4 linked regions of the Drosophila melanogaster genome follow. The protein of the gene in region 2 interacts with the protein of the main gene of each other region in a pairwise test. Each region holds a gene or a part of one and is shown on either strand. Other genes may lie near its edges. The genes, in order: CG7309, CG13407, Nup50 and Membrin.

What was found.
Region 1: the proteins of CG13407 (region 2) and CG7309 interact in a two-hybrid assay, tested with the Drosophila melanogaster proteins (one large-scale study listed by BioGRID).
Region 3: the proteins of CG13407 (region 2) and Nup50 interact in a two-hybrid assay, tested with the Drosophila melanogaster proteins (one large-scale study listed by BioGRID).
Region 4: the proteins of CG13407 (region 2) and Membrin interact in a two-hybrid assay, tested with the Drosophila melanogaster proteins (one large-scale study listed by BioGRID).

The regions. Positions count from the first base shown.
Region 1 is NT_033779.5:10,903,567-10,911,695, forward strand, and holds CG7309 (uncharacterized protein), read right to left. Parts: upstream 5,328-8,129; 5' UTR 5,247-5,327; coding exon 5,239-5,246; intron 5,176-5,238; coding exon 5,034-5,175; intron 4,982-5,033; coding exon 4,716-4,981; intron 4,664-4,715; coding exon 4,549-4,663; intron 4,497-4,548; coding exon 4,447-4,496; intron 4,385-4,446; coding exon 4,262-4,384; intron 4,197-4,261; coding exon 3,515-4,196; intron 3,398-3,514; coding exon 3,281-3,397; intron 3,213-3,280; coding exon 3,129-3,212; 3' UTR 2,704-3,128; downstream 1-2,703. Other genes in the region: CG14069 (uncharacterized protein), read right to left, coding at 6,664-6,969.
Region 2 is NT_033777.3:22,099,381-22,107,238, reverse strand, and holds CG13407 (uncharacterized protein), read right to left. Parts: upstream 3,826-7,858; coding exon 3,737-3,825; intron 3,170-3,736; coding exon 2,984-3,169; intron 2,709-2,983; coding exon 1,649-2,708; downstream 1-1,648.
Region 3 is NT_033778.4:8,118,989-8,126,821, reverse strand, and holds Nup50 (nucleoporin 50kD), read right to left. Parts: upstream 3,787-7,833; 5' UTR 3,685-3,786; coding exon 3,459-3,684; intron 3,403-3,458; coding exon 2,273-3,402; intron 2,213-2,272; coding exon 1,874-2,212; 3' UTR 1,764-1,873; downstream 1-1,763. Other genes in the region: coil (coilin), read left to right, coding at 1-1,289, 1,349-1,555, 1,613-1,752; Asap (ArfGAP with SH3 domain, ankyrin repeat and PH domain), read left to right, coding at 4,437-4,565, 7,202-7,274, 7,354-7,499, 7,568-7,833.
Region 4 is NT_037436.4:5,362,961-5,369,504, reverse strand, and holds Membrin (membrin), read right to left. Parts: upstream 3,051-6,544; 5' UTR 2,907-3,050; coding exon 2,770-2,906; intron 2,701-2,769; coding exon 2,187-2,700; 3' UTR 2,124-2,186; downstream 1-2,123. Other genes in the region: Pfdn4 (prefoldin 4), read left to right, coding at 1,561-1,605, 1,731-2,102; Uev1A (Ubiquitin-conjugating enzyme variant 1A), read left to right, coding at 3,349-3,376, 4,420-4,562, 5,296-5,421, 5,490-5,630. UniProt on the Drosophila melanogaster protein: Involved in transport of proteins from the cis/medial-Golgi to the trans-Golgi network.

The sequences.
Region 1 (8,129 bases), on a different chromosome or scaffold from region 2:
AATATACCGCAGTTATGCTACAGCAATTTTTATTTATTACTAAGAATATAAATAAGCACGAAATATGATTTAAAAATTTATGCTTCCGCTTCAACCGAATTTATGGTATCATTTTTTGAAAGTCCTAAGGTGCGCAATCTTCGCATCACTCTTTTGCACTTTTTCACTTTGTATAGATATTCTGGAAAAGAGCATTTGAGATGCTCGTCTTGTGGTGTTTGCTTAAACATTTTGCTCGGCAATCAAATCAGCTATGGGACCTTGGGGCGTGAGGAGACTGAAGGATGGTGGCGAGCAGAAAAGGGGGCGTGGCTGTCGAAGGAAGCGACGAAGATACAGTTCGTTGATTTTGTTACAAATAATTTAAATCTATGTCAACATTTGGAACGCATCGCGATAATAATTCATTTTTGCCTTTTGCCGCAGCTTCGTGACAGCTAATCACTAGAGAGAGACGGCGATAGACAGACAGACAGACAGAGGGAGAGAGTGAGAGATATATAGGGAGCGACTGACAGGCGGAAAGGCAAATAAAAATGGACAGTGACAGCCATTTTGAAAAATGGCGTCATGGCTGCCCGATTTCCGCCGGCAAATGAATTTTCCCATTTGACGTCGTCGACGTTGTTTTGTGTGCTAATTTAACGTCTTTTTTTTCACTCGCCGGTTAAATTAACAACAACATGATACCAATAGGTCGCTCATTATGACTGGTCTAAAATGAGGGCTTTATCGCGAGGCGCATAAATTAAATAAAATTCACCATCATGATTATCGATTGTGTGCACATGCGCGACGCCATCAATGGTAATTGTTTATTTGTTTTTCGATAAAATCATTTTAATTTCATTAGTTTCCGCTTTATTGTCTGTTTTGCCATCCGAATTCCCCATCAAGTTGTGCGCATACATTTGTCCGAGTTTCAAAAATATCGCTTTATCTGTGACAAATGTCAGACAAGCGATTTATCCTTAACTGTTCAATTGTCATGCATATTGCTATGAATTCAATTAGTAATGAACATCATGCAGTTTTGTTGAGCCTTTCGATAAAATTGTAATACTGATTGCTCGCATTTTTATAAGTACCTGCAAATCTGTTACCTATGGAGTAACAACATAATTGGTGTAAAAATATATTGTAAAAATTAATATTTCGATGCCTTTTCCATTCAGTGTACCTCCAATTTTAGCGTCTTTATTATCTTAACAACCGTATATATCAGCTCCAGACAACTTTTTCAACGTCTGAAAGGACAATGGCCGACTTGAGCTTCCTGTTTGGAAGTTATCGTGAAACCTTCGGGGTCTGTCCATAAAGCAAACAATGCAACCCAAGAAGACCCAAATGACGGCAAGAAAATCTATTATACTTGGGAGTGCATGCGCATATAAAAGGAGTACACTCTGAAAGTTATAATGAATGGAAATAATGGCGCCGCAGGTGAATAATCCGACACCATGTTTGTTTCTTGGGCGCTGGGATGTTGGGATGTACATTTTTTTTCATCCTTTCCAATCTGTCTGTTTTATATCCGAATTTGCATTGTACCTTTTTGTTTTAAGACAATGGTTAAAATGTCCTCTGGCTTTTAGTTTTTGTTTTCCTCGATTGCTGTCAGCAAAATCAGTCACAGACGCGATTGCAACTGACAGCGCAGCAGGAATATTATTCGTAGAAAACATTTCAATTACAAAATTGAGCATTATCTCAAATTTAAACATGTATTTTTGGAAATACATGTATTTTGTTGTATATTTGTTTTTTCAATTTCACCGCGAATCTTGGGCAGATGTCAAGAAGGATAATGAGCCTAGATTTGGGAATAAGGAAATGCCAGTGAGCTCGGAATTTGCCAGCGTGGAAAATCAGCTTAAGGCGTGCATGATATTTGAATATATATGCATAATTTGTGCGTCTCCCTTTTTGGGGCTTCCAATGACTTTAAGATGGAAATTCCTCATCTGACTAAGAAGTAGAAAAGCCCATGGGATTTTCAAGACAAATTGAAAGGCATGACAATAAGACCTGAAAAAGTGTCACAGGCCGAAGAAGGCTCTCCCATTTTATGATTTCATTGAATTTTCAATAAAAATTAGTTACAGCTTATGGGATATTATCGAAATATACACACGCAATTGAATTTATAAATGCTTATATTTTATTTACATACTTTTTCCACAATTTACAAGTACTTGCAACATCTGCGGCCGTTAACCTTGACAAAATCAATTAAATGCGCAATTTTGGATTGTCGTGAGTGTTATGAATATTCACGAACTCTGCGCCACTGTATTAATATTTAAATAGTTTGAATATAAATGCCTCCCAAAGCTGCTGACGCCGAAACCTGCAGCCGCTAATGTATTTTGGCTGGAGAGGATTCACGCGACACCAAACCGGCAAGTATCCAGCCGGAAAGAGTTTGCTAGAGGGATGTAGATGTACATGCGTATGTAGATGCGCCTGGTCCTCGTCTAAATTAACAAATAAATTATTCAGTGCCAACACTTGTGTGGGCAATGTTTGGACTACAGCGATGTGAATTAGGTGCGAATGACCAGGCGGGGATTACCCTAAATGCGAAACTGTGTAATTTGCTTAAAAGCGTTGGTCCTCGGACAACACTTTAATGCCATGTTTGTACTGGCCACTCTTCACTGTGATGCTGCAGTTTCTGAAAAAAAATAGGAAAAAGTTGATCCAAATTTAAGTTGCTTTAATTGGCAATGGCTACGTTTTGAAACATGTACATCACAATTTGAAATGAATTTCAAAAAATTTTGGCTCAGAAACTTTATCCAGTTCTTTTTTGTTGGTTTGTTTGCTGTTTGATCCTTTCTTTCGTCCTTATATTTTTCTAAAAGTTACTGCCACAGCAGCAGCATTTTGTTTTGCCATCACCTGTCCGTGGAGCTGAATTTTCGTGGACCAGCTGTTGCCGAGCCATCCCAATCTCGTCCAAATCCAGTTCCATCTCCGATTTTGTATGCTAAACGTGTCAACAAGATTGCTCTACACACCGCATTGCAGTGGTGTTTACTTGGTAATTTTATCAAATGCGGTTGAGAGAAATCGAAACGGAAATTTGGATGGCTGAACTGAAATGAAGTTGAAATTAGTTGAATTCAGAGCACCATGGTGCGGAACAAGATGGTGAATCCAGCGATTGTGCAGAACATGAAAAGCGTCAGGATACTTCCGCCCAGCAGCTGAAAAATCCGTTAAGATACACATATCTATACATATATATATATATATATCAATTCGTATTACTTACAAATTGAAAAGGTCTGACATTGCCCCAGCCGGCGACAATTGTGTTGGCCGGGCTGCTCACGGGCAGCAAAAACTGATTGTGCAACGCGGTGGCAAATGGCAGTGAAAAGGAATTACCCTAAAATTACACAAAAATATTAGTGAAAGGAATCTTATTGACTTAATATGATATGGCTTAGTCCGACCATCCTATCCATTCATATTCATTAATATGAATATACAAATTTTGACTCACCGCGGTTACCATGGTGGGCAATGCCAACTTGGCCACGGTGGTGGCCGGCGACAGCGTGGTCCAAAGTGTTCCAAGCAAGGCGCCGCAGATGAAGCTCTTCATATTGAATCCCTTGTTATCGGAGTTCATCGAATCCGCCAAGTAGGTGTTCAATCCACAAACAGCGGAACTATAGCTAAAGCTGAAGGCGGCGCCCAGCATAAAGATTTCCGCCCAGGGAGTATTGTTGTTGACCGCCTTCCAGCCCAGAAGTGAATTGGCAGGACCCTCCTTCTCCGGCTGGCGGCAAACATAGTATCTGCAGAATATATAGTTGGCCGGAATTGCGAAGAAGAGAATGGACATGCCAATGCCGGCCACTGAGAGACCAGATTCCGCCTTATAGTTTATACTATCCCAGCCCGTAAAGATGCGCGGCTTGCGAGTGGCCACCAGCAGGAACATCAATAGAATCAAGCTCAAGGCCAAGATGGGATATATTCCCCAGGGACCAAGAGCCTGTTTTCTTTCAGACGCGGTCTGTTTAAAGCCCGCCTTAGCCCCAGCCATTTCCGCCAGATCGCGCTTCACACTGCCTCCAAGGAGACCGAGGAAGAGGACTTGCAACCAGAAGATCATGACAACGAGACCCATTAGAGCTGGTCCCGCCATTAGCATGCCAATTTCCAGAACTGTAAGAGACCTGGAAAAGTAGTTTGCAACTTCAACTTTCGTACCTTTTCGAACAGCAATTAAAACCATAATCACCCCCCAAAACCATCGCTTATCACACCATTGGGATTGACGATGGGCGAAAGACTTGCTGCCAAAGAGGCTGCGTAGCAACAGGTTAGGTATATTCCGATTACAGGACGCGTGGGATATGGTTTGCTAGGAGGCGGATTATAAAATTAATTGGATTTGTGGAAGGTACTGTACTGTCAAGGACTCACGATCCAATTTCATAGGGCTTCTCTTCAGAGTTTAATTTTATCAAACCACCCTGTAAAAAGTATGTAAAATAAGTTAAGATTCAGATGTTGGTGATTTCTTACATTATCGTATTCCACCATCACGGCTTGGGACACCTTCATCCAAAAAGCAGCGGATATTGTGGGATTCACCAAAATGGACACAATGGCCGCGGCGATGGTCAAGAAAATCTGAAGACTACAGAACGATATTCTAAAGTAATGTACAACTCAGCCATTTAAGGACATACAATTTCAAACTTCCACCGACCAAGGAGATGACAATAAAAGCCAAGCGGTCACTCAATTTCGAACTGTCCATCATGATGCCCATGAATATAGCGGAATAAACGAAAAATATGAGATCAGTGTAGTACGACACACTGATCTCTTTAGAGCTCGCAATGCCTGCAACGGGTATGAAAACCATATAGATGAAGGCGGCAGCTCCTCTGGCCATTAAATTTAGGATATAAATCAAGTAAAGACATAGTGTTAGATAGATGAAGCGGCAAATCTACAGGAAATAAGTTAATTAAATGCCTTTCAAAAGCCTTGCCATCTCTTACCAGTACTGGAGTTCCAATTAAAATGGGTGCCAGCAAAATAGGTATGAACAAAAGTAGAACTCCTTTGTAGTGGTACTTGCAAAATAATCTGCGATCATCTTGCTCCTCCAGGGGAATATCCCCGGGCTTGTAATCTTGAGTACTTGTTTAAGGATCATAATATATAATATATTAATAAATAGTTCGATTCTGTTGTTATACTCACGCTGCCATTTTGTACGACTAAAATAGTTTGCTCGGATGTTCAATTTTGTTACAGCGTGTTGCCTTAATGACTCACATGGAAATGGTTGCTATGCACAATGGTTTCAATACTGAAGTTTACTGAACCAAATTTGTTTTCCGGTTTGTAAATATATATATATATATTTACCTATCATAGCGTTAAATTATTTTAAGTTTCGGAAAATATTTAACCTAATAGTTGGAGTTTTTATTGCAAAAGTTTTTTTTTCCTAACTGCCAAGTTAACTCACGTAGTGGGTCAAGGGTTTTTCGCTGGCCAAAAACTGCATCGCGAACAGCGACAGGGGAATTTGGCCAATAAAAACTTTGGTCGGCCAAACTGAGTCTGCCGAGTCTGACTGAGATGCACTGCATTGTGGGTCGAATCCCGAATCCGGATGGTGATTCCGATTCTGATGACGATGGCGATGGCAACTTTGTGGGAACACGTGGCGCGTAACAACGCGCGGTCGTCGGCAATTTTGCGTAACTATTCGCCGTTCTGCTTCGTTAGTGGCTGAGCAGAAGAATGAGTCCTTTCGCAATGGAAACTGTTTAAAGTTGCCAAAATAGAACAAGCAAGCATGTCACTGCAGATAGTGCTAAATTAAATGTTGCACAATTGTTCACCTGTGTCAGCAAACTGGCCATGATGCGTTCCAAAAAATGATAGTTATACATACTAAGTATCAAATTACTTATCGTTTTAGGAAGTTTGTATCAAAAATAAGTTGGTTTGGAATTTTAAAACTATATTTACTATGAAAATCTTTGTAATATGAAATGAGTTACCAACTGCTCAACTATTTATACTATCTGGCATACTTTTCAGACTTTTTCATTACCCATCTCAGCACCAGGATTTAACTTGATTCTAAAAACTTTCAGCAAGTATTAAATTCACTCATCGTTCGACGAAACTACTCATAATTTGCTGTCTAAAGGGGCGCCAAGTTGCCGTTGCCGGTTTTGTCCGATTGACACTCGGTATTTTGGTGTTTTAGTGGCGATGGCAACCAGGCGGACAAGCAAAGGATGAAATCCATGAACTAACTGGCAACAAAAAAGGGCAATGCCAAAGCGGAAGTTGATTGACTCCTTTGGACACTTTTTCCATACGGAAGGTTGATAAACAAAAATGGCCGACAACTTTCCTTCAGCTTCATCCGGCTACCATTGTTGTCATTTGCCTGAGGCGCTGGGGCGAGCCAACATGACGTATACATAACATAACGAACCAATCCTTGATTAGGGTTAACACGAATCTATGATGGATGCTTGGGTTTTATGGCACGGCGAACTCGAGATCAACTCAAAAATCACGGCTATACATATGTTGCCTGCCATTGTGTTCTTTATTTCAGTTAGCTACAAGGTTTTGGGATATTTCGAATCACCTTAAAGTCTAGGCCAACTTGCGACATCGTCCTGCCAGGAGACCCCATCCGGCCCAGCAACGCTTTTGAATCTCGAGTAGCATTTCACCTGTCACGCCGAGCTGGTTGCTCAGAATGGTGGCACATCCAGTGTTTTGGAGCGGTATTCGCAGCTTCTGTTGCTGAAGCGAACGACAATAGGCCAACTTGTCCGGCTGCTCCTGAAGCTCCAGTGCTATTTGAGCCGACCAGTTGGCTATTTGAGGGTCCAGCTGCATCAGGATCAGTGGGATGAACATTAACAATCCGATGGCAATTGTGGTCGCTGTGTTCATGGCGACAAATAGCAGGCAACTGAGCTAATAAGCGCCATCTAAGCTACTAGCTGTTCATTTAAGTTCCAACAGCTGTTCTTGATTTGCATTGAAACTTTAAAAGCAGCTGAAAAATAACCAATAGAAATCATTGCCTGCCATTTGCATTCTTATCGAGCAATTGAAAATTGCACCTCAATATGTAAAATTATTTTATTGGGTCGTTTGAATCTTGACAGATTTTTAATATAATGCATTAATTTGTTGAATAAGTAATTTATGTGTAGCGACAGTTTTAACAATTCATTTTTTATATAACACCAAGCTACGTACACTACTTACCAACAATCTATCTACTTATTTAAGCAAATATAAAAAATCGAATGTGTATTTATACAATAATGTAAAATAGTTGCAAAATATATGTTCAAAATGAAGCACTTTTCTGTAGTTAGCTCTTATGTTCTTTTTATGATTATTACAGTCCGTTTAATTTGTAGCTTAGTGTTAAAGCTGCTTTTAAAAATTATTTCTTTCATTACCATTTTTTTAGGCAGGCTCAATTTTAATCAATATTTTTTCGCAGGACTGCAAAGTGAAATAGCCTTTAATATACGATTCGCCATTTCCCCATTTTAACGCTTTATTTTCGCCCAAAGTTTTCGTTTGTTTTTAGACCTTTCAATTGCTTGTTAGCGGTTTTTTCTTTGTTCGGCCCTTTCATTATCGGCACCTCTGTTTTTTTTCCGAACGTCGTCATTCTTCTGGTTGAAATTGCATTTGGCGAAATGAATGCCCGGTCCTCGTCCTTTTGGCCACTTTGGCCCCGGTGCAGCATCGACCTCGAATGATGCATGCAATCGAGTGTAAATTTCTCCGTTTTATTATTTAATAACGTCGCTGAGGAAGTAACTTTTCTGCTATCTATATGATGGTTACTGTCATATTTACGCGCCCATTTCCCATTTTTTATCCATACCCTGCCAGGCTATATAAACGAATTGTCTGCGTGAATGTAAGTGCAAATTGGACAACTGAAATGACACACCTACCCGCCTTTCACAGGTAGCACACACACAAAAAAAACAAATAAAATGTGTATAATATGGGCAATATTTCTTTTTGGTACTCTTAAATTTTTGAGTAACTTGAGAGGTTTCAGTGTTCATTTTGATTGGCTT
Region 2 (7,858 bases):
CTTAGTTAGAATATATAATATAAGTATTACCTAGCCTCTTGAGCAGTATCCCACTATAGATACATTCATAAACCCTTGATGATCATGAACTGTTTCGATTCTACTAGCTGGCAACCAGTTTTGGGCTCTACTAGAGTTCCATTGAGCAGCACTTACGCCAGTTACGTGCTCGTGTTGGCTCCGAAAATCACGCATTAGCTGCCACTTTGCACTTAAAGTCATAAATTTATTTAAATAAATGGGAGGCCCAGAGTCGCTATATACATATATACGTATAAACGGCCAGAGTCGCACACGTTCGCCCATCGCCGTTGTAAAGCAAAATTTATATTAACTTCATTTGGCCGTGGGGTGGTGGCGGTGCTGCTGCTCCTGCTCCTGCTGCTCCATGCAGTCGCTGCATAACTCATACGCACCGTGTGCCGGGGACCGTGCCGTGAGCCAGTCAGTCAGGCAGTCGCGATGCGTGCAAAACTGGCAGCCTCCACTCCAACCAGCCATATCACCGACACAAAGCGAAGAAAGGGCCTCGAAAAATGGTAGCCAAGAGAATTTTAAATTACGCTTTTGAGTGCCGACCGAAGCTGAGGCCGAAATGCAACTGCAACTGCTGCTGCTGCTACTGCTACTGCTGCTACTACTGCAACTGCATCTGCATCTGCTACTGCGTGCATTTAATTGCAAATGAAGCAAAAGAGGAGCGACGCAGCCAAAGCGCTGACAATGCCAATTGCCAGAATCAACTTCAACCCTTTCCCATTGCCAACGGTGGTGGGAAAAAAGTGCATCCGTCGGAGGCATCACCACATGCAATGGCAAACTGCAAATGACGTTTAATCAAAGTTGTTGAAATTGATAGCATTGTTTGTAGTGCACGCGCGCCAAATGGCAAAATGCATTTTAAATTGCGCTAAATGTGTTAATTAAAGCTACCCCAGTGCCACCATCCAACAGACACGAGTTTGCTTTTGCCGCTCATTGGCCGTGATTATTGTGGAGCCAAGAACGAAATCCCACTAAATAAGTAAACTGCTAGCTAGGTAGCAATGCAACAGATTTGTATTAGACAAACGGGTGTGTGAGTCCGGAAAATTGCAACTTAGTTGCTGTGGCAGGCAATAAAATAAAGTCTTAGCCAAGCGCCAGGCAAAATCTGGGGGCACTTTTAATTTGTTGTGCAACAAATTAGCATTTATTTTCATTACGATTCCAACTTGCCGGGTGTGTCTGTCTGCCTCACCGCCTCATCGCCTTTTTCCATTCATTTTTTGTCAGCTCTTATGCACGTTGTTTGCTTTTAATTATAAATACATGTAAGCTAAGCATTTTTAACCCTCGGTCGTGCATTATGATATACAACTTTTAAAGGTAATGTAAAATAATTCTTATATCGTATTATAACTTTATATGAAAATCAATAATACAAGTAAGTTAAATGTGGTATTTTTAAGCTACAACGAAAGAGCGTGGATAATATTTACAGAATGTAAAATGCCATAAGCTATAAACGCTGCTTTAGCTGTTCTAAAAAAAAATCCATTCACATCTTTTTTTGCCCATCCACATTATGCCACCCCATTTTTGTGCAATGGGTTAATGCAGCAAATCCCCGCCATGCAACATAGAAATGTGCGCGGAATTCTTGCATTCAATTAATGCGTGTGCGAGTATAGAAAGCATCGCTGCGTCGCCGCTGCTGACCATTCTCGTCCTCATCCCAGAAACCATCTGCATCCGTATCCCTATCCCTATCCCGATCCCTATCCCTGTGGCCATAGCCATAGCCATAACCATGACCATCGTCATCATCACCTTGCCGTCGCTGGGCATTATCCAAGTAAGAGCTCACGCCCGACTGAGCGCCCAACGAAGCTGAAGACCACGGTGCGGATGAGTAACGCTGCCTGCCATAAGACCAAGGATGCCGATGGGAGTTTGTGCCAGCATACGGGTTATAGTGGTGCTGATAGTAATCGGAGCCCGACTCCGATTCAAAGTCGGGCCGGGACGAGTGGTCGATGTGTGTGCGATTAGGATAGAAATCGCCGCCATCGGAGGTGGAGAAGGTCTGAGGCGGAGGTCGGCGCTGCCCGTAATTATAAGCATCATCATTCGCGTTGTGGGGCCGATAATCGTGATGATTTTGCTGAGGGTTCGACTGGTACTCCATTGGCTGGCGTTGGGGCGGCTTATTGGCCATCTCCGTGTGACGGCTGTAGGGCGATTGCAGCACCACCGTGGGCGTAACAATGGAGGGCGGCACACTTGGCTCGACGGCCGGAACTAAAGCAGCCTGATGATTCCAAGATGATGCCGCTGCCGATGCCGTTACCGATTCGGTGGCCGTTGTCGAGGTCTGTTCGCGTGAATTCATCTCGGCTAATTTGTTGAAACGATTGCGAGTGCCGCTGGCTGTGAGCACCATCACGGTGGGATTCATGTCAGCCATATGATCCTTCAGGCAGTTCTGCAGCATGTTAACAAAGAAGAAGAACGAGAGCAGCGTTAGTGCGTTCATCACCGAACCGCTGCTCTTCTTCGATTTCTTTGACGATTTGGTGGGCGGAGGAGCCGGTGGTGGACCAGCCGGCGGATGGTGGGCAGATGGATATGCGGGCCCACTGCCCGCACTACTGGGATGAAAGGAGGAGAAGCTACCCGAGGGTGGGTCATGCTGCAGCTCGTACTCCACGGATGGCTCTATGCCGCTGCAAAATTCAAACTGGCATTAGATGCGGAACTTGCACTGGAATTGGGGTTATGGTTTGACTTTGATGGCCAGTGCACAGGAAGAAATAGGTAATTTAGGTTGATAAGTTCGAAACTTTAGTATTCATTAGTATCAATATTATTAAGTATATATTCATCTTCAAATAGTTATTTATATTTTTTCATAACAGTTTAATTTCTTTGTATATTTGGAATGAATTTTCTTGTTCATCCCATTGCTTTTCTCTCAGTGCAGCGGTGGTTCTTTGCTTACCCGTAGCCGGAGTGTCCGCTGCCAGCCGCCGTGGCCGCATAAGCACCGTTGTGGCTGCTGGCGGCCGCCAGGAGCGGTGGTCGTCCCTGCTGCCCCTGGTATCCTTGGTGTCCTTGGTGGTAATGGCCCGGCAAGTAGTGGCTCGGGTAGTAGTGGTTGGGATAGTAATGCACACGCTGCGTTTGACTGCAAGAGAAGGTTAGAAGGTGAGTGGTGAAAGCGGGCAAGCGGATGAGTGAGTGGGGGGGGGGGGGGGTTGGGCATGTGGTTGTGTGGCCGAGACGCCGCTTCTGTTTGTGTCCCACATTAGCCCGGCTAAGTGCCTGAGGTATCAGTCCGCGCCCGCAGTGGCTGTCTTTTGGGCCAGGGGTCGTTTGCGATTGCAGTTGCCTCCGGCACTCCAGCACTTAATCTTTAAGCCAAAGAGCACACTTTATCCTGTTGCAACTGACTAAACTCTTTCAAGGCTCCTTTAAGCGATTATTAATATTACGTAGGATAGAAGAAAGAAGTTTGTTAAAGCGTTTAAGTTTTGCATATATCAATGACTGAAAAAGAATTAATTCATTATTTACGATGTTGTTTAGCAGGACTTCTTGATAAATATATAAAAAGCACTTAAGCGAGTTCAGATTAACAATATAATTCTAGGGAACTGAGTGAGTGTGCCACTTCTTAATTATATCAAATTTAATTTGATTTGGCTGTATGGCAAATACAGTCGACATCCCAATGCCTTTGACCATGGCTTACGCATAATTATTTCCTGAGATGGCTGAAAGCAGCGGATGTTGTTCCTGCTGTTGCACGTTGAGTTGATTTGTCATTTGGCCGTCGGACATTTTCACCGTCTTTGAGTTCACCAAATTCAATTGCTAATTGATTTGTGCCGAAAAGCGCGCATGTTTATCACTACACGGTGCACCAGCGTGGCTCATTGTCGCTGGTGCTCAACCTGCCATAAACCGATGGCAACTCGACTGCAGAAGCCGCAAACAGGACGATCAGGACTAACAGGACGAGCACGACGAACTGGAGTTTGGGGCTGAAGCAGCAGGAGATGATGCGCCCAACCAACCGCAAGTGACAATGTCGTTTAGGCAACTGGGCAAAGCCTTTCCCAGACACTTGCCTGGCAGGCGGCTATTAACGCAGGTGAACTTGAAGTGGGTGGTAATCGTGGTGGTGCTGATAGTGGTGTTGCTGGTGATGCGGGAAAGAAGAGAGGCAGGCGACTGTCATTGTCAGCTGCTAAGTGAGTTTGGCTACAACTAGCAACTTGCAACTGCAACGGCCTTAAAACAACTACTCAATGGCAGTGTTGGCAGGTACGGCTCGAGCAAAGCATTTGTACCAATACTTAAACTAGGTACAAGTACAAAAATTACAAAAAACATAGTAACTCACTTATTAAAAGAAGAAGTTATAGATTCTAAACGAGAGCTCCTTACTTTATCCACTTTGCTATATTGCTTCTTTATTGAATTTCAGGAAAGGTAATCTTTAGTATCTTAATTTAATTTTGTACTCCGTGGAGAAAGTATTTCCATTTCCCATCACTGTTCGTAACACGTACCCAAAAGCCAGCTGACAATTGCCGGCAAAGTGTTTTGTGGCGACAACGGCCAACTGACACACACCTGAATTGGAGCGTTGCGTTGCATGCATGCGCTGCACATTTCGGCCAGGCCAGACAATTAGTGAGCGACAAAAGGCCGGGAATGCTCCTTGGCATCAACCCCCCCCCCCCTACACTCCTCCTACTCCCTACCCTTACCGATTCCTGTCAGTGTTAATGACGCTCCAGTCGCTTGTTTATTGCATTAAAAGCTCTATGGATGCAGCGTTATGCATCAGAAATTGTCATAATTGTGCCATGTCTGGCCCAGACTTTGCCACTGTCGTCTGTGCAGCCAAATGGAGCTCGGTTCTTGTGGTCCCTTGTGCGGTTAGTCGAACCCGGCTTTTGGTTGGGGTCCACTTCCACTTCTCCACATCCACGCCTTTGGTCTTAAAGATTTATGACTGGGGCTAATAGTTTTCATTGCCAGAAAAGATTTTTATATTGAATTGAATTTTATGGGGTATATTAGTGCTGCTTATATCAGTTATCACACACTACAAGTGCTCTGATCTTCCACTAACTTTTTCTAACTATATTTAATTGTAATATATATACTACTTTTAAACAAGAAGTATACAACTCTTCGATCACAAACATAGCACAGTCTCGAAAAATCCCTGTCTGTTGTCTTTCGTAAAGCGGAAACATTAGACTGCAATAACAAATATTTAACATTTCCGCAGTGCTAGCGACAACGTGGAGCAAAACAAAAAAGAAAGAACAACATCAGCTAGATTTGCAGAATCAAAAGCATATAATAAATTGCACTGCAACTTTTCCACACATTTTCCAGCTTTGTAACGCTTTGATTTGTCGCGCTGCCCCAACCCCCAAAAATTTGGCCCACAGGAAATGTTGGGCAAAAAACTATGGAAAAGAAACTAGAGGACTTTTGCTGATTCTTCCAAAAAAAAGGGAAGCATATCGAAAAGTCAATTGCCTTGCGGGGTTGAAAATTTGAGAACATAAATGGGGGGCTGTTTTTTTTTTTTTTTTTTTTGTGGATTGGGTATTTATATTTAGCTTTTGTTGCTGGCGCCATTGTCAACATATTTCAAAGCCCTCCCAGGACCGAGACAGAGAGTCAATAACAAGTTGACTCGGACATATTGTAGTTAACTAGTAGCCGAACATTTGCCACCAACATTTTTATAAGATTTTATGGCCACCGAAATTGGTCAGCAAGAGCGCCCAGCGAAATTTAATGACTGGAAAATGAGGCATTTAAGCCAAGTGCCAACGAAAGTTTTTCCCTTTGAGTTGTTGAACGTGCCAGATATTTATGGGTCTGCATCTGTATCTCCAGCTCGGTTCGTGTCTGTGTCTGCCAGCGATGGCTGTTTCTGTATCTGTATCTGTTCCGCACTGAAGGATGTGCTCGTAAGGACAATTGAGAGGGCGGGCCGAGTTTGTGGGATGTTGGACAACAGCGAAGGCATACATTAATTGCCGTGATTAACACGTAGAAGCATTAAATTATACACAAGAGCTGCAGGTGAATCAGAGTCGCTACTGTTCATACACTTTTAAGCCAAACATAATTGAACTTCGGGAAATGGAGTAATGAATAAAATGTTGTGTTACGTATATTCGATTTCAGATGAGATCTCTTATAAAGAACTATCTTTGCATCAGTTGGCAAAGGAAATAGAGCTAGTTGGATATAGGTATATTTTGCTGGGTTAATTCCAGTCAATTAGGATGAAGAAGTAAGGCATTTGCATGACATTCTTGGCTGCAAAGTCAAAGTATTTGAAGCGAGGGTCTCAAAAGGAGGCCTCGACATGGCCACATCAATTATCACAAATGCGGCCAGTGCATGTGCGCCAACCCCACCCACTTTGTGTCTGGGGCAAAGTGCATAAATCATTTGGCTACATTAGGTCCTTGAAAACCCTAAGTAAACTTTTTCGGCGATGGGGCAAATGGGAAACAAAAATAAAACCTCGTTAGGCAGCTAAAGCCAAGACGAAGGAGCGGATGCTACGTGCCTGGACTTTGACTTGGACTAGGAGCTGCTGGTAGTGGAGCTGGAGTAGTGGCAGTATCAGAAGGACTACCGCCAGCGCAGTGTCAAGTGTAAAGAAGAACTACTAATCAGCAGTTAATTCTTATCTTTAATTAAGTGCACGTTCCACCCCCTTCGGCTGGGCAAAGTCCTTGGCGTTTATGGCAGGAGTCCTGGGAGTCTGGCCAAACTTTTTGCTTTTCCGCCAACACTTTTGTTTGTCCGCGCTCTCGGCATTGTCCTGGACAAAGGCCAGCCAGGCTTTGTCCTGCTCTGGTCAATTTAATGAAATAATCTAAGCAAACACTCCTGAAAATTAAGCAGTTTTTTTTTTCGGACCGCCCGTTTCCGCTCTCAAATTAAAAATGTAATGCGTTCGCCTTTGTTTTGTTGCCGGGGAATAATTAAATGTGCGAAAGAAGTTGCTGCAACATTAACCCGACATCCATCCGGCTGGCCAATTAAAAAGGCCACGCAACAATGGCCCAGGCGCTCATGCATGGCTTACTCAATCCCTTGGCAAACTCAATCCCTTAACCCCTGATTAACCAAGACGCTGTGAATTCAACTCCAGCTAGATGCGACATAAAAGATATATCTGGGGTAGTGTCTATAAGTCATTACCCCCATTGAGGTGCAGAAACAGGGCTCACAGGTAGGAGTGCAGGCAAAGTTGCTGCCGCTTTCGGCTCTCAAGTTGTTTGACAAACAATACACAACATGGCCAGGGGTTTCTGGCCAAAAAGAAAGAAAGTTTAAGGGCTAAAAAACACGGGGAACGAGAGCCGCACTCAAGCGTGCCCGTCACATTTTTGCGCTTTTACATTCCCCTTTCTAGCGAAAGTGAAGGAGGGGGTAGGGCATCATCATCAGATACATGAAAAACATTTTTTCAGCAGTGAAAAGCTGCACTAAAAATAAAATAAAAGATATTTTATTGAAGTGGCGCAGGGGAATGATAGAGTGAAAGGGGAAGCACACCCATCCAATCCCATACTGTTCGCTCGCAGATTAATTATGCATCGCTAAAATGCTAAGCCAGGTAGCACCAAAGCACCGTGGCATCAGCATCGCAGTGCCCCAAAGGCAAATGGCAGGTGGGTGGGGAACGGGGGAATGGTGCAGGCATCTGAGAGGGGGGGGAGTATGTAAAAGCCAAGTACAAGCCACAACAAAATTAAAAGCCAAATAAAATCAGAAAAAAATGGTTTTGGGCAAATACAGCAGTGACAGGACATCGTGA
Region 3 (7,833 bases), on a different chromosome or scaffold from region 2:
TCCTGTAAAATCCAGTAAAAAGCGCAAGAATCGATCCGTCGAGGAACAGGTTCACCTAACCGCCTCCACTCCCCTCCGACCTTCAAAGCGCTCCAAGAACCAGAACAACTCAGAATGGATAAATATTGCAGAAAACCCATCTCGTGTGAGAAAGAAGGAGTTGCTAGATATGGCTCCTGGACCTTCTGTACAATCAAAGCTCTTGACAAACAAAGGCACTCCAAAGGCCCCTGAAACTCAGACAGAAGTTTCTAACATGTCAGCGAACATCGAGACAGAGAACAAGGAATCTGCTCCTCAGATTAAAAATAAATCCAAAAACAAGAAACCGACCAAATCGCCCGAGGCATCTGACCAGGTAGAGAATGAACCTGCTCCTAAGAGTATTTCTCGATGCACGCTCAAGGAGGGTAAAATGTCAGAAAGCAAGAATCAAGAGACATCGCCTGACATTCTATCAGAAAAATCTGGTGTGGTAACGAAGGAAAACGAAACTCGAGAGGAGCAACAGGACAAAACACACTTGGAGTCCAACAAAATTCCGGATAAACTATCTCAACTGAAAGCAGGGGACCAAATTGAGAAGAGTCCTGGCATTGCTGCTAGCCTCCTATCGATTTCGTTCCGCTCCCCTCTCTTGGAGATGCCCTTTAATGTTCCGCGCATATTTCAATTTCCCACTAAAAAACAACAAATTGAAATTCTGGAATATAAAAAACTTAAGCCCATCAGTCCTCGTTTTTTGCTGCAGAAAGGAGCTAAGAGTGATGATACGGCTAAACAATTCCCAAGCAATGGGAAGGATTCAACCTTAAAGCCTAAATCCTACGAAATTTTGCACGACGAAGAATTACCAGATGTAAAGGATAAAAAAAATGTTTCAGAAGGTATAAAGAGAGCAGTTGCACCTCTTTGCGAAGACATCATTGAAACATCAACCACTCTTCCGGGGGCCATAGGAGCAGTTGAATCCGCTTATCTGGACAATTCGACTGAAGCTGAGACCACTCTTCCGTCCGAAGCTGAAGCAACTAATCCACTTGAACTTACTGAGTCATTTCTACAGAACAACACATCTATGGAAAAAACACCCAAAGTCGAAAAAATTTTGCCAGATGACGGAAGTGCATCTCCGATTAAAAATAACGTTGATTCGAAGGATGTTAAAACGGTAACAGTGCCCATTTTTGAGGAACAACTAGTATCCGATTCCGACGACGATGTGATGTTGGTAGACGACTCCAATATCGACGTTTCATACGGCGACTCTGATATTGAACCGATTCCAGGTGAGATACGAGGCATTTAAATGGTAGATGTATGCTTATGAGTGCCCTTGACATCTTAGTAGTAGAAAATAGGCAATCTTTGGATATTATAAGGGACCTACTGCGGACTGCAACTCCACTCAATAGCCTGCCGTCCAGGGGCGATACGGTTATATTTAAACTGCTGAAGATTAAGGGAAACGCCAATTCTGGCACAACCGAATTTGTCGCCGGGAGGTGCACTTACGTTAACCGGCGCACCAAAATTGTCACAGTGGAAACAATAAGTAAGCGACTATCAATTTAAATTGTATACCCGAAACTGATCTCGTTAAAATTTTTAGCTTATCCCCCCGAAATCGGTCGCATGTTGCGTCAATATTATATGAGTGGGTTGGACGAGTCTTCTGAGGATGTGCGAACTTTAAGTATTCATCTCAAAGATATGCTTGAAGCCAAAATCATTGTAGCCACAATTGACTGATTATCATTTTTGTGTGTACATTCTTGAGTTCTATTTCCAGGGTTTCGTACATTTATAGCTTTTAAAATACAAACGATTAAACAACATCTATATGTACGAATTCATGTTAGTTGTCTATCCTCTACTTGATGTGCTCCTTGATCTTCTCCAGCAAGTCGTCGGCTTCGTCACCGGTCTTTACGCGTAGCAACAGCGATGTGGCCTTGGAGTCCTCTGGCGTGGGCACGCAGACCATCAGCACATTGTTCTTGCCCATGCGCTGGCAAGGTATACCCTTGCTAAGAATAAGGTTGACCAAGATGTTGCCCAGATTGGTGTCGGCGCGGACTAACAGTTGGATCTTTTCGGAGTCCTTGACAGGTTTCAAGTACAACGTGCCCACGCCACGATCGCCAAAGTCCTTGTCTTTCTTAATGAACACCTTACACCGCTTGGAGTATATAGCGTCATCCTCCACAACCTGTTTGGAGTAGAAGTTATATTATCTTTCCCTTCGAAAAGAAAATTCTTTTATCATCACCTGTTTAAACTCGACTTTTGGGGGCGTATCCTCTTCTTTTTCCTCCTCCGCAGGCGCTGCCGCTGCAGCTGGCGGATGAATGTTTCCGAGAGAGAAGGGCGTGGCACTGTTGGTGAAGGAAAAGCCCTTTGCGCCGTCTCCTGCTCCTCCAGGCGCTTTTCCGAAACCCGCAAACAACGAGGTGCTTGGCTTGTCGTCGTTGTTACTTTTCAGTCCGAAGGAAAAGCCATTGGTCTTCGGTGCCGAGAAGTTAGGCTCATCCTTTTTAGTGGTCGTATCCTTTGCTCCAAAGCTAAAAATGCTGGACTTAGGGGTATCATCGGATTTGGCTTCTCCAGTGGGTTTTGCTGTCAAACTGAAGATACTGGAGGAGGACGGCACTGGCGCAGTGAACGATGCCGTACTGCCGAAGGAGACCAGTGGTGTTGCGGTCGTGGTGGTTGTTCCACCACTGGTTATGGTGCAGTTGGGTTTCTTGGCTAAGGGCGATACGCTGGCGCCTATTGGCGCGCTGGGCTTGCCAAACGTAAACGTAGTAGCCGCTTTTGGTGGCGACGATGCACGGGACACCTTTGCAACTGGTTCTTGAGAACGAGCTTGTGCCGTTTTGGATTTCGTGGAGTTCGTTCTGGCGCTCTCCTCGTCTTGCAGATCCTTTAGATGCTCATCATAGTTCTTAAACACTGGAGTCAGTATGCAGTAGGGACTTTTGCCCATTTGGTCCTGCAGGAATTTTATGACGGACCGATTTAGGTCAGCAACGCTTTCACGGTACTCGGAGGTCTCCATGGTGGATGTGAGGCTAGTGCTGCTGCTGCTGGTTTTGGCCTCGCTACTCTCCTTCTTGGCAGCTGATATGTTGCCAAATATCGAGGTGGTCGGCTTGGCGCCATCGACGGTACTTGTTGATTCCTTGGCCGGCAAAGGAGAGGGGGCCGTGCTGCTGGTGCTGGCGGTGCCGCAAATGCTAGTGCTGACAGGCCGATCGGCCGAACTGGAACTGGAGCTGAACCCGAACGAGAATGCAGACTTTTTTGGCTCGCTGCTAGAGGTCGTGGCTGGTGCCGTCACATTGGCCAGGAAGGAGAAAGGCGAACCCGCGGCTGGGCTCGCAGCCGGCTTGCCGAAACCTAAAAGCAATCGGAGTGAGCAAGTCCCTCAGGTCTGCATGGATTTGATAGCTTACCGGAAAAGCCACTGAACACACTTTTGGGCTCTGCAGTCTTTTCTTCGGCGCCATCCTCTTCAGCGGCGGACGATCCACCGGCAATCTTGCGGCGCGCCTTCTTGATAACGCGTGTCTTTAGCTCCTCTTCGGTGGCCGTGCGGAATGTGCCGCGCTCCTCGGGTTCCTCCTCCAGGTCCCAGTTTTCGTGGTTCAGGTTCGAAGTGGCTTGTCGCTTGCCAGCCATCTTGTTCTACTCTGTATTAAAACTCAAAGCAAATGCCAGTGAAAAAGAAAAAAAAAACCGAATAAAATCCACACCGCGTTGCTGGCGGTCGATAAATGTTATCGCTACCTCAGTTGGGCGACGTAACTGTGAGTCAGCGAAACAGGCCTGCTGCTTTCGATAGCATATCGATAGGGTAACAACAGCGAGACGCCAGCAGCACAAAATCGCAATAAAACAAAAGTATTAAATCACGCCTAAAGTTAGGACGACCATGTCCAGTGCCGCGAGTCCCAGTCACAGTAGCAGTACCAGTCCGAGTGTGTTTCTGATCCTACCATGATTGCCGCGATTCCGGGTACTGCGCACTTCCCTCGCCCAGAGACAAAGTTAATTGTGCATCTCGAGTAGTACGAGCAGTACCAAAAACGCAGAAAACCGAAAAGCGAAAAGCAAAAAGCCAAATTGCATGAGGATGATGAGAACGCCAGTGTGTGGATATATGGATATAGTGCCAGGGAAAGTGCGACGAGCAACAACACAAATCGGGAGTGAACAAAGACGCAGAGACACGTACAGTGCTTAAAGGCGTTATCCTGGTAGTTTCTCAGCTATTTGCCGTCCCGCTCCCACTCCCATTTTGCTCCCGTTCCACGGCCTTGGGCGTGAGCTGGTGTGCGTGCGACTCGCGTGTGTGTGTGTGTGAGTGAGTGTGCGTGTGAGTAAAAGATACGCTGTATATACCAGGACATCGGGATATCCTGAGCAGCAAAATGCCGCCATCCCTGATTGCCGTGTCCGAGTTTGTGGAGGAGACGCGCTCCGATTACAGCTCGCCCACCACCTCCACCTTCGCCTCGAGGATGCCCGACTGCCGCCACACGATTGGCGTCTTGGAAGAGGTAAGTGTGTTGACCAGGCAATTCCTAAGCCATGTTCCTTATGTAGAGGCAGGTAGTCCAAAAAGCCAACAATCTGTGTACCTACAGCCCAAGCAATCCCTAGTTTAAGGTGGGCTATCCTGGTGGGTTTACAGGTGTGTTCTGGGAATCCCAGTCTATATAGTTTTATATTTGAGCTAAACATATAAACAGTCTAGGGGTCACTGAATTTAAAGGCATTTGAACCGCTGAAAAATTGGGTTTACTGTTCAAAAACTAATATCTTCGTAGGCTACGGAGAGTGAGGAATGTGTTATCGTCATTACTTGTTTATTTCAATGATTAAAATTCCGATCCATCTGCGGATAATCTGTAATAATAATCGGTTTTGCAAAACAAAGTTCCTAATTTAATGGAATCTGATCGATGTCGGTGAAAGTGAAAACAGGAGCACGGCTATGTGACCACGCGATACTGCAGCTAACATGGCAGGCGACGCCCCCTGCCAAACGGTGATGATTACTATTTTCCGGGGGGCTGCAGCGGACAGATTTGTAAATTGGCGCGGCGCCAAAATGAGCCACCGCCTGTTATTTTAGTGCGGTCTCTCTCTCCCGGCTCGCGCTCTCTCTCTGTCTGCCCGCAAGGTGGTTTTTCCTCGATTCCACGATTCCACAAAAATAGTACAATGGAAATACAAAGTGCATTCCGGAACGTGCAAGAGCAGATGGAGCTAGGGGCGCAGGGAACTGGGGGCTGGGCACCGAAGTGGGAGTGGCTGCCACATAAGCATGCTGTAATTTCTATATTTACTCAAGGCAGCTGTGATGTCGCCTCCACTTTCATATGTATGTAAGTGCACGGATATAAATCGCCCGCTGATAAAGCTAAGCACACAAAGAGTATTTTACGGCCGGAAAAAGGCGTGTGATAAGAGCAGCGAATCCGAGAACCGCGGCTATTCCCGTACGGGAACACTCAGTCAGCTGGGGATATCGTCCACAGAAAACACAGAACGCCTAAGTGGAAAAGTCATCCATGTTGTCATCCAAAAGACCCTTGAGTGGGCCGGTTGTGCAATATACACATATTGCTCCAATTCCCCAGGCTAATGCAGCGCCCGCCCGGCGAAACAAAATTAGACGATTTATTGGTCGGTCACGTCATGCCCAGTTTTTCCCGGAACTCTGGGCCGCCTTCTTGGACGCCACGTCAAACATTTAATATTTAATTTTGCTGATGGATTTTTGGTGTAGCCCAAGCAGCCCAGTGACCTCCATTCCCCGCCAGTTAAATGAATTTTATTTCTCTTTTTTTTTTAGCCAGTCTCTCCCATTGCGTGTTTATTATATTTGGAGCAGCTGTAAAACTGACTGTCTAAAATGAAATTTAATTTTGTGCGTCCAAGAGTTTCTCTCTGTGCCATTCATTTGGCCGCTCCACAACAAAGTGCTGCTGTTTTAGCCATCTTCTGGGGCTTTGACTTATTATAAATTAGCATCTTTTGTTATCAAAACAGCTAACTGGCCGCGCAACTCGTCCAAAGAGCAAAACAAGTTGACGAATATCGTTAGCTGGTTTTTGTTTTCGGTCTAGGCGTGTTGTTTGCATTCCCAGTAATTTGCTCAACAACATGACTAATCTTCTACAGCCGATGGCGGATTGCTAGGGGTTCATTTGTCCCCAGATGTTTGCCACTCAGCGACTATCGCGTAGTATAGAATTGCAATCGCAAATAGTCAGGTTTCCCGGAGTTCGGTCTTGGCCGATTCGCTTGTTACTTTTTTTTCCATCTGCAGTATTTATTGGGCAGTTGTTGTCTGGTAGCTCATATATCAGTTTCAGCAGGAATGTAAGCGATCTTTGCCGATTCCCATATGATTCGCAGTTGTGTCAGGATCCCTGCGCCCCTCCTTGGCGGCTAATTCAATTCTGAACACAGCATTTTGAATTGGAGGCAATTGGGGAGAGTCATCGGGTCAATGGGGGAACGAACTCTTTCCTTCTCGACTTCGGAAATGTACTGAAATCATTGTTTATGCGGTTCCGGTTTCGGATTATAAAAAACTTTGCCGCATAAAACATTTATGCTGGAAAATGGGGGGTGTGTTTCGGTAGGGAAATTGCCTCGAATCTTTTTCACTTGCTGTCTTAATTGGTGCATGCGACTGCATTTAAAATGGTGCTGGTTCGGTTATTAAGTTTAATAATAGAAGTGACCTTGTCGTACATTTTCAATTAGCTGGTGCCATAAAATATGATGGGAGTATCGAAGGGGTGGGGTTGGTCAACCGACCGACAGGCGAACTGAATACCTAATGCCAATGTTGACGCGATTTCAATCTGAAAATATTGTTCATTCGGCGCCCGTCCACGGCGTTTCCTCTATTGTGTCTTCCCATCTTTGGCTAAGTTTGGGAATGCATTGTGGTTGCTCATCTAAAGCACAGAAGGTGCAGGTCGTTTATTGAAACGCTAAATACAATTGTTCGGACTTAGAAATTTGAAGAATTCCCTCTATCAAAGCCTCTCAATTATGCAAAACCTTGTCGCTATCTCTTGTCTTATAGAACTTCCTTAAACAACCCTTAAACAACTTTTATGTATTCCCTTTGACACCATGCCCAATTGATCACTGCAATAACTATCTCTTTCAGAGATTGGAGTTCGACCGGGAGGGTCTAACTAAGCTGAAAAAAGCGGTCAAGGCTATCCACAACTCAGGAAACAGTGAGTACATCCTCTGAGATATGATACCATTTATGTTACTTCCTTCCAAATAATCTTTGCTTTCGCTTTTATCTTTTAGCCCATGTGGACAATGAGATGTTTATGGTGCGAGCTCTGGAGCGACTGGGCGGCAAGGTTATTGAGCAGGATGAGCCGGACATCGGCGCCGCGTTCCTTAAGTTCAGCGTTGTCACCAAGGAGCTTAGCGCGCTGATGAAGACCCTGGTAGGCATGACGATTTCGCAACCATTACAGGGTCATCTAAAAGATAATTTGTTTACCCACAAAAACAGATGCAAAACATCAACAACATTGTGATGTTTCCGGTGGACTCAATGCTGAAGAGCGAGCTGCGGGGCGTGAAGGGGGACATGAAGCGGCCATTCGACAAGGCGGCCAAGGACTACGAGGCAAAGTTCATCAAGATTGAGAAGGAGAAGAAAGCCCAGGCCAAAGAGGCGGGTATGGTGCGCACAGAGATCGACGCCGCTGTGGTGGCCGAAGAAATGGAGAAGGAGCGTCGACTCTACCAACTGCAGACCTGCGAGTATTTGCTGAA
Region 4 (6,544 bases), on a different chromosome or scaffold from region 2:
AAACAAGCTTCAAGCAAGAATCATTGAAATAATGCAAACAAATTCGTATTCAATCCTTTTATCATTCATTACATACTTTGCAACGAATATAATATACCCTTTTACTTTGCGATAAAAGGGTATAATAAATTGCAGCAACTTCGTTCGAAATGTTTGCTTAAAGGAAATCTCAAGGATAATCTGATTGCGATGCTAAAGCAATAAGCTGATGAAGTTTTCCATACACAAGTTCGTTACCTAGGATAAAACTCAAAGGACAACTTGTTGCAGCAAACATCGTTTTTGCATGGCGCAATTGCAATTGATGCGATGCAAATGCAATAAATTAGACATCAATTTGCAGCAAAAATGTCCATATTATATATATTATTATAGATCTCCCCCCCCCCTTTTGTTGCAATTATTTGCCTAAAACCGAAATTATTTCAATTTGTGAACTGACAATGTCCATACGGACTTTCGGCGGAAAAGCGAAAGGATAAGCGGAGTCATCGTCAGGATATTAACACTATCACTTCCTGCACTTTCCCACTACCTCGATGGCTAATCTCGAGTTTGTGTCTAATTGCATTTGCATATTTTGATAATATTCGAAAAGGGGAAATGAAAGTGGCAAATGCATTCGCCATTCGAAATACTCAGTTTAATGCGGATTCAAAGGGAATGGAAAATAAGGGTGGAGGCGGGTGTTAGTGAAATTTAATTGCATCGTGCGAAGAAATCCCGTTTAATTACGGCGATTAACTGTAATAATTTATTAGTTTTTGCTTAATTTGTGACATGTGCAAACAATTAGTGATTCAATCGCATGGCCAAAAAGGAAGCAATAATAACTTTGACTAATTAGCTGTGTGCGGTAGGCTTAATTCGTGGCGAAAATAATATGGCTGAATCACAGAAACAATTAATACGCTTTTTTTATTCGTTCGTTAAGTTTTGTAGTGCCACATACTAAAGAGTAGGAAAAAAAAACGTTGATAAGTAATTACTCTCATTGAATTTGCATTATTTGTTAATACTTTACTAATTTAAAAAAAAATTAAAGGAAGTTAGATTTTACCTATTTATAAAATAGTTCGATTTAAATGTAAGCATAGGACATATAATTTTAGCAAATTTTTTTTGTTTTTAAAAAGTAACTGCACTTGAAAATGTTTTTACACAGGATATGTACATTTTAAATGTACTCCACTGTAAGATTACACAAAATCATTTTTTTTACACGTTACTTACACTGTTAAGTGACAAAATTAAAGGTAGCAAATATCTAAATTATTAACCCTACTTATTAAATATTTTATATATTTTATATTCAACATAGTCATAAAAAATTAAACATAACTATTTAAATAAATATAAGTGCTGAAGATATAACAATAAATTGCTAAAGCGGAATCACTTCTGTAAAATAGCCTAACGCCTCGTTCTCTCTGTTAACTGCTCTCCGTTTGTCAACACTAAAATGTTAAACAAATAAAATTTTTTGCGAAGCACCGAAAACAGCAACTGTTTGTAAAATATCATAAATTATTTATTAAATTAATTAAAACCAACGGGAAAATGGCAGCAAAAGTAGCGAGCGGCACGAACAAAGTGTTCCAGAACGTGAGTATGGGTGAATCATCAAAGGACAGCTGACTAAGATGAAAAGTAACCTCACTTTGTCATGGTTTTTTCTGTGCATCTGCTCAATTGAAATTTATGATATATATTTTAAATCGCATTTTCAGCACGATGACGTGCACATCTCCTTCGAGGATCAGCAGCGGATCAACCGCTTTGCGAAGCACAACGCCCGCATGGATGACTTCAAAGCGGAGCTGGAAACGAAGCGCAATGAGCTGAAGAGCTTGGAGGAGGCGCTGGAGGAGATTGAGCTGTTCGACGAGGACGAGGACATACCGTTCCTGGTTGGCGAGGTGTTCCTCTCGCACAAGCTGGAGAAAACACAGGACATGCTGAAGGAGACCAAGGAGCAGGTGCTCAAGGAGATCGCCGGCGTGGAGGCCAAGGCGAAGGTTATCAAGGCGGAAATGGACGAGCTGAAGGCTCATCTGTACCAGCGGTTCGGCAGCAATATCTCACTGGAGGCCGAGGATTAATCCACAATTGATCAATTGTTAATTTAACATTTTACAAAATAGAGTACATTTAATTTAAACTCAACTAAACGCGATGTCTTCAGATTAGAGCACTAGGAAATAGATGATCAGGGCGATGATAAGCAAGGTGACCACCACTCCTCCGATGAATATCCGACGATCCTCGACCAGCCGGCGTTCAATAAGTTTCATCGTGTGATTGGACAGACCCAGTGTGCTGCCTATCGCCTGGATTCTCTTGTGCGCTCCGCCCAGCGTCATTCTCTGCGAGATCAGGCTCTCGAGAATGCCGCTGCCCGAGGCAATCATGTCGTCCACACCCCGATGGGCGTTACCCAGCTGCGTATGATGCTGCAGTTCGTAGTCCAATTGCAGGCGCGTTTCCTCCGGCTGCGCGCTGTTTGCCGTGAATCTGTGATTCAGCAGCTGTTCCCTCTCGGAGATCTCCTGCATCCGTCGCTGTCTTCGTTCCCGCGCCGTCTGCAGTGATGTCTGCAGGTGTCTCAGGTCATATTTCAGCTGATCCACACGAAGTTTGGAGCTTTGTCGCTGCGAAGGTGGCACCTTATACAACAGCACATCCAACCGATCGCAGTTTCTAAACACAAAAGATTTATTTAATAATACAAACTCCTCTTGGGATAATATATATCATTGTAGAACTCACGCGTTCGCCTGGGTAATCTTCAATTGAATGCCGTTTTCCACGTCAAGCGATTCCTGGGCACTGAGCTGACTCAGTCGCTGGAAATCGCGCTCGATGTCCTTTACCACATTGTTGGTTTGGTGGTACAAGCTCTCCATGTCGTTACACCTATTGATTCCGCATTAATTTATGGGCCCGAGAATATTCGCAAATTAATATTTAATCGGTTGCAATTGGTTTGTTTTTAAAAAAGCTGACGCGTTAACATTGGACAGAGTGTCATGTTAGTTAACAGCACTGATAGCAGAGCAGCTGGCTGCCGTTTTTGGTATGACCATATATTATGACAAACTTATCAGCTAATGCAACTATTAAATTTCCTTTTTATTTTCAGAGAATATGCTATATATTGTTAAATAATGATTTTTAATTAGTGACCAAATATTGCACTTGACGGCGCTGTTAAGTGTTACCACTGTTAACGGTGTAAAAATCAGAGTTGTTAAGCAAGCCAAGCAAAACCTAAACCGCACTGGTCACATCGCACTGGAAACGCGTTAGCACACTTTTACGGTATTTTAGCACTTAGCATTAACCACAATGGCGAATACATCAAGTACCGGCGTTGGTAAGAAATAAAATTGATAAATTAGCAATTTGGCAGCTTAAAAATGCGATCCCCGCACGCCCGGAGTTGTTGGCCATCCGTTTTCTGCATTTCCCGCTGACCGGCGGCGATTTTTCCGCCGCTACGGACCCGACAAGCGGACCGCAATGTGATTGTGTGTGTGGTGCAAAACGGGCAAAAAGAAGACGAAAGCAAGGGCGAAAGACGAAAGCCGATAAAAGCGAAATGGGCGAATGGAAATTTATTTTCGCCAGCGGACCACGCTGCTCTTGCAATTTTCCTTGGCCGCGTTTGGCGTTGGAAAAACTCCGTTGCAATTGGGCTTCGTGACTTGACATTTTCCGAAATATCATCCCCGCTCCTTCCTCACTATGTGGCTCTCGCTCGCTCGCTCGCGCACGCTCTTCTTCTTGCCTTCATACTTAAAGTTTTTTCTTTATTTTCCTTATTTTTTGCACACTTGCGTTTTTGCAAGCTGCCTTGTCTTTTCTAATTAAATTAGCTGCCATTTACATTTGCCTGGATTGTTTTTGCAAATGCAGAAATTATGCTTTCGCCCCGCCCCCGCCGACACACCCTCCCCCCGCGCCCATCGTGCTTAATATCTGCGCTTCGCATTTTTTTTTTTTGACTTGTGTTCTCTGCACGAAAATGCGTACAAAGTCACACGGCCGAAAACAAAAACAACACGAGAAGCAGAGCGCAAAACAACAACAACACGTACCCATATGACCCCACACTGAGAGGAAAAGTCGCCGAAATATCACCGAAAATGGTTTATACCATAGAAAATGTGTAGAACAGTCCTTACTAGTTTGTTTCTAAATAGATAAAACTGTCGTTTATAATTATATATATGTATCTTATCTGTACGAGCCCGTGATTATAATTATTTAGAAAGCTAAGTACTTTCTTGCCCCGCCAACCAGAAAATTAAAAACAAGCTGACATTTAACTTAATGACTATATTTAAAGATTTAAGTTTTTCAGTGAAAATGCATTATGTCATCGAGTTCTCACCTCTTTGCCGTTTCACATTGCAGTGGTGCCACGGAATTTCCGCTTACTGGAGGAGCTGGATCAGGGCCAGAAGGGCGTGGGCGATGGCACCATATCGTGGGGCCTGGAGAACGACGACGACATGACGCTCACCTACTGGATCGGCATGATCATCGGTCCGCCTAGAGTAAGTTTCCATATCGATTGGACTTTCCTCGCTACGTCACCAGATAAGCCCGGTTTATTAGGCAATTCTGTAGGATTATTGACATCTTATCGCTTAGATTGCGCAGACCATTCAGTTTGGATAGCACCTTGTATCTTTGAAGGCAGTTTATCTCTTCAGTGCGATGGAATTTGATAATATTTGCATTTCATTAGCACCGCTGATGCAACTCATTGTGAGTGTGGGTTTCAAAAGTCATTGGCTTCATTAGCTTCTTATGTGGTAAATATGAATATAAAATGTACCTCTGCTAGATTTTAATCTTATATGAAAACTACAAGCTGCAATCTGGGATTATTGCTAGAAAATATAGGTATAGAAACGCTCGTGCTAATTTATTCTTATTTTATTCACAAGAAAATATTCCACTTTACATGCATTTATTGGGGAAAACAAGGCTCTAGCCTTGAATTACTAGCAAGGAAAGCGGCGGAAAACTAAATTTGCATTTAATTTTTGTATAGTCTAGAAGTGTTGCGCGCGCCGCCGCATGAATCATTGAGGAGTTTGGGTGGCAGGGTCTTCTAACAGAGCCCCAACTTGGTTTAGTTGCATTGGCAACTAAAGTGGAGAAGCGGTGGACTAAGGGGAATGGGAGCGCCTGACTCATCGACACTCTGGCCGCAAGTGCACAGAGTATTGAATCATTCAAGAATCATTTAAAGCTAATGGCAAACTCTTGTGTTTATTACAGACACCATTCGAGAATCGAATGTATTCACTAAAGATCGAGTGCGGCGAACGCTATCCGGATGAGCCACCAACGCTCCGGTTTATAACTAAAGTAAACATTAACTGCATTAATCAGAACAATGGCGTGGTAAGTGCAAGCAATCGAATGTGGCATATAAACAACGACGAATGCTAATATATTTGAATTTGCAACAGGTTGATCATAGATCAGTTCAGATGTTGGCCAGATGGAGTCGCGAGTACAATATAAAAACGATGCTGCAGGAAATCCGTAGGATTATGACCATGAAAGAGAACCTGAAGCTGGCACAGCCGCCAGAAGGTAGCTGTTTTTAGTCGACAACATCCGTTAGCAACACCAGCAGCAGCTGCAACAGCATCGAATGCAACGCGAGCGGGAGCAGCATCCACACCCAGTAAGAGCCGGAAAACGAACCACCATCATCAGTCCAAAAGTCCAAGACCAAGGTGGCCACACGTGCGTGGAATTAAAAAGAGATTGTGTGGCGGCTGCTCCGCCGAGTTGCCATCGGTGGCAGCGTATGCTTATTAATGAACGTAATAAAGATCGAGTGCGGTTATTGTGGCAAGAACAACAACCAAATGCAAGCTATATACTATAAGTAAAGGGAACAGCAGCGAAAAATGCGATAGGAGCGTCACTATGAAGAGGTCGTCGTCGTCCCTTCCGTCATGAACTATGTCATCGTGTTTGGTTACCTTACTCTTCTTACTACTTCAACTTCAGTCCCCAAACAAAACGAAACGAAAATATGAGAACTTCTTTTGAATAAGAAATAAAACAGCAGCAAAAGAAACAAGTTAAATGCCTGAATGTTTCAGATTCAAAACTTCAAATCGAAAATTCGTAAACTAATCGAACAGAAAAGTAATGCATAACAATGATAACGATTAATCAAGATCACAGCGTGAGATCCGAGCGTAATTATTGTTTTTTTTTGCCTAAACTAAAAATTTATTAATTATATACATAAAGCAAAATATATATTAATTTAAATAAAACCAACATGTCGAACACAATTTTTGTAGACGGCGCCAGTACGAACGTTTTTTTTTTTTGTTTATCATTGATGAAGCGATTTTGTAGTTGATTTTATATTCTATTCTTTCGAAAATCTTCCTCCCGAATCGCTTGGGACGAGGGACGCGATTTATAATCATTGAATTGTGGAAATTATAGATATATATATATATATATAGAAACACACACACACTAAGCCGATGAGCAA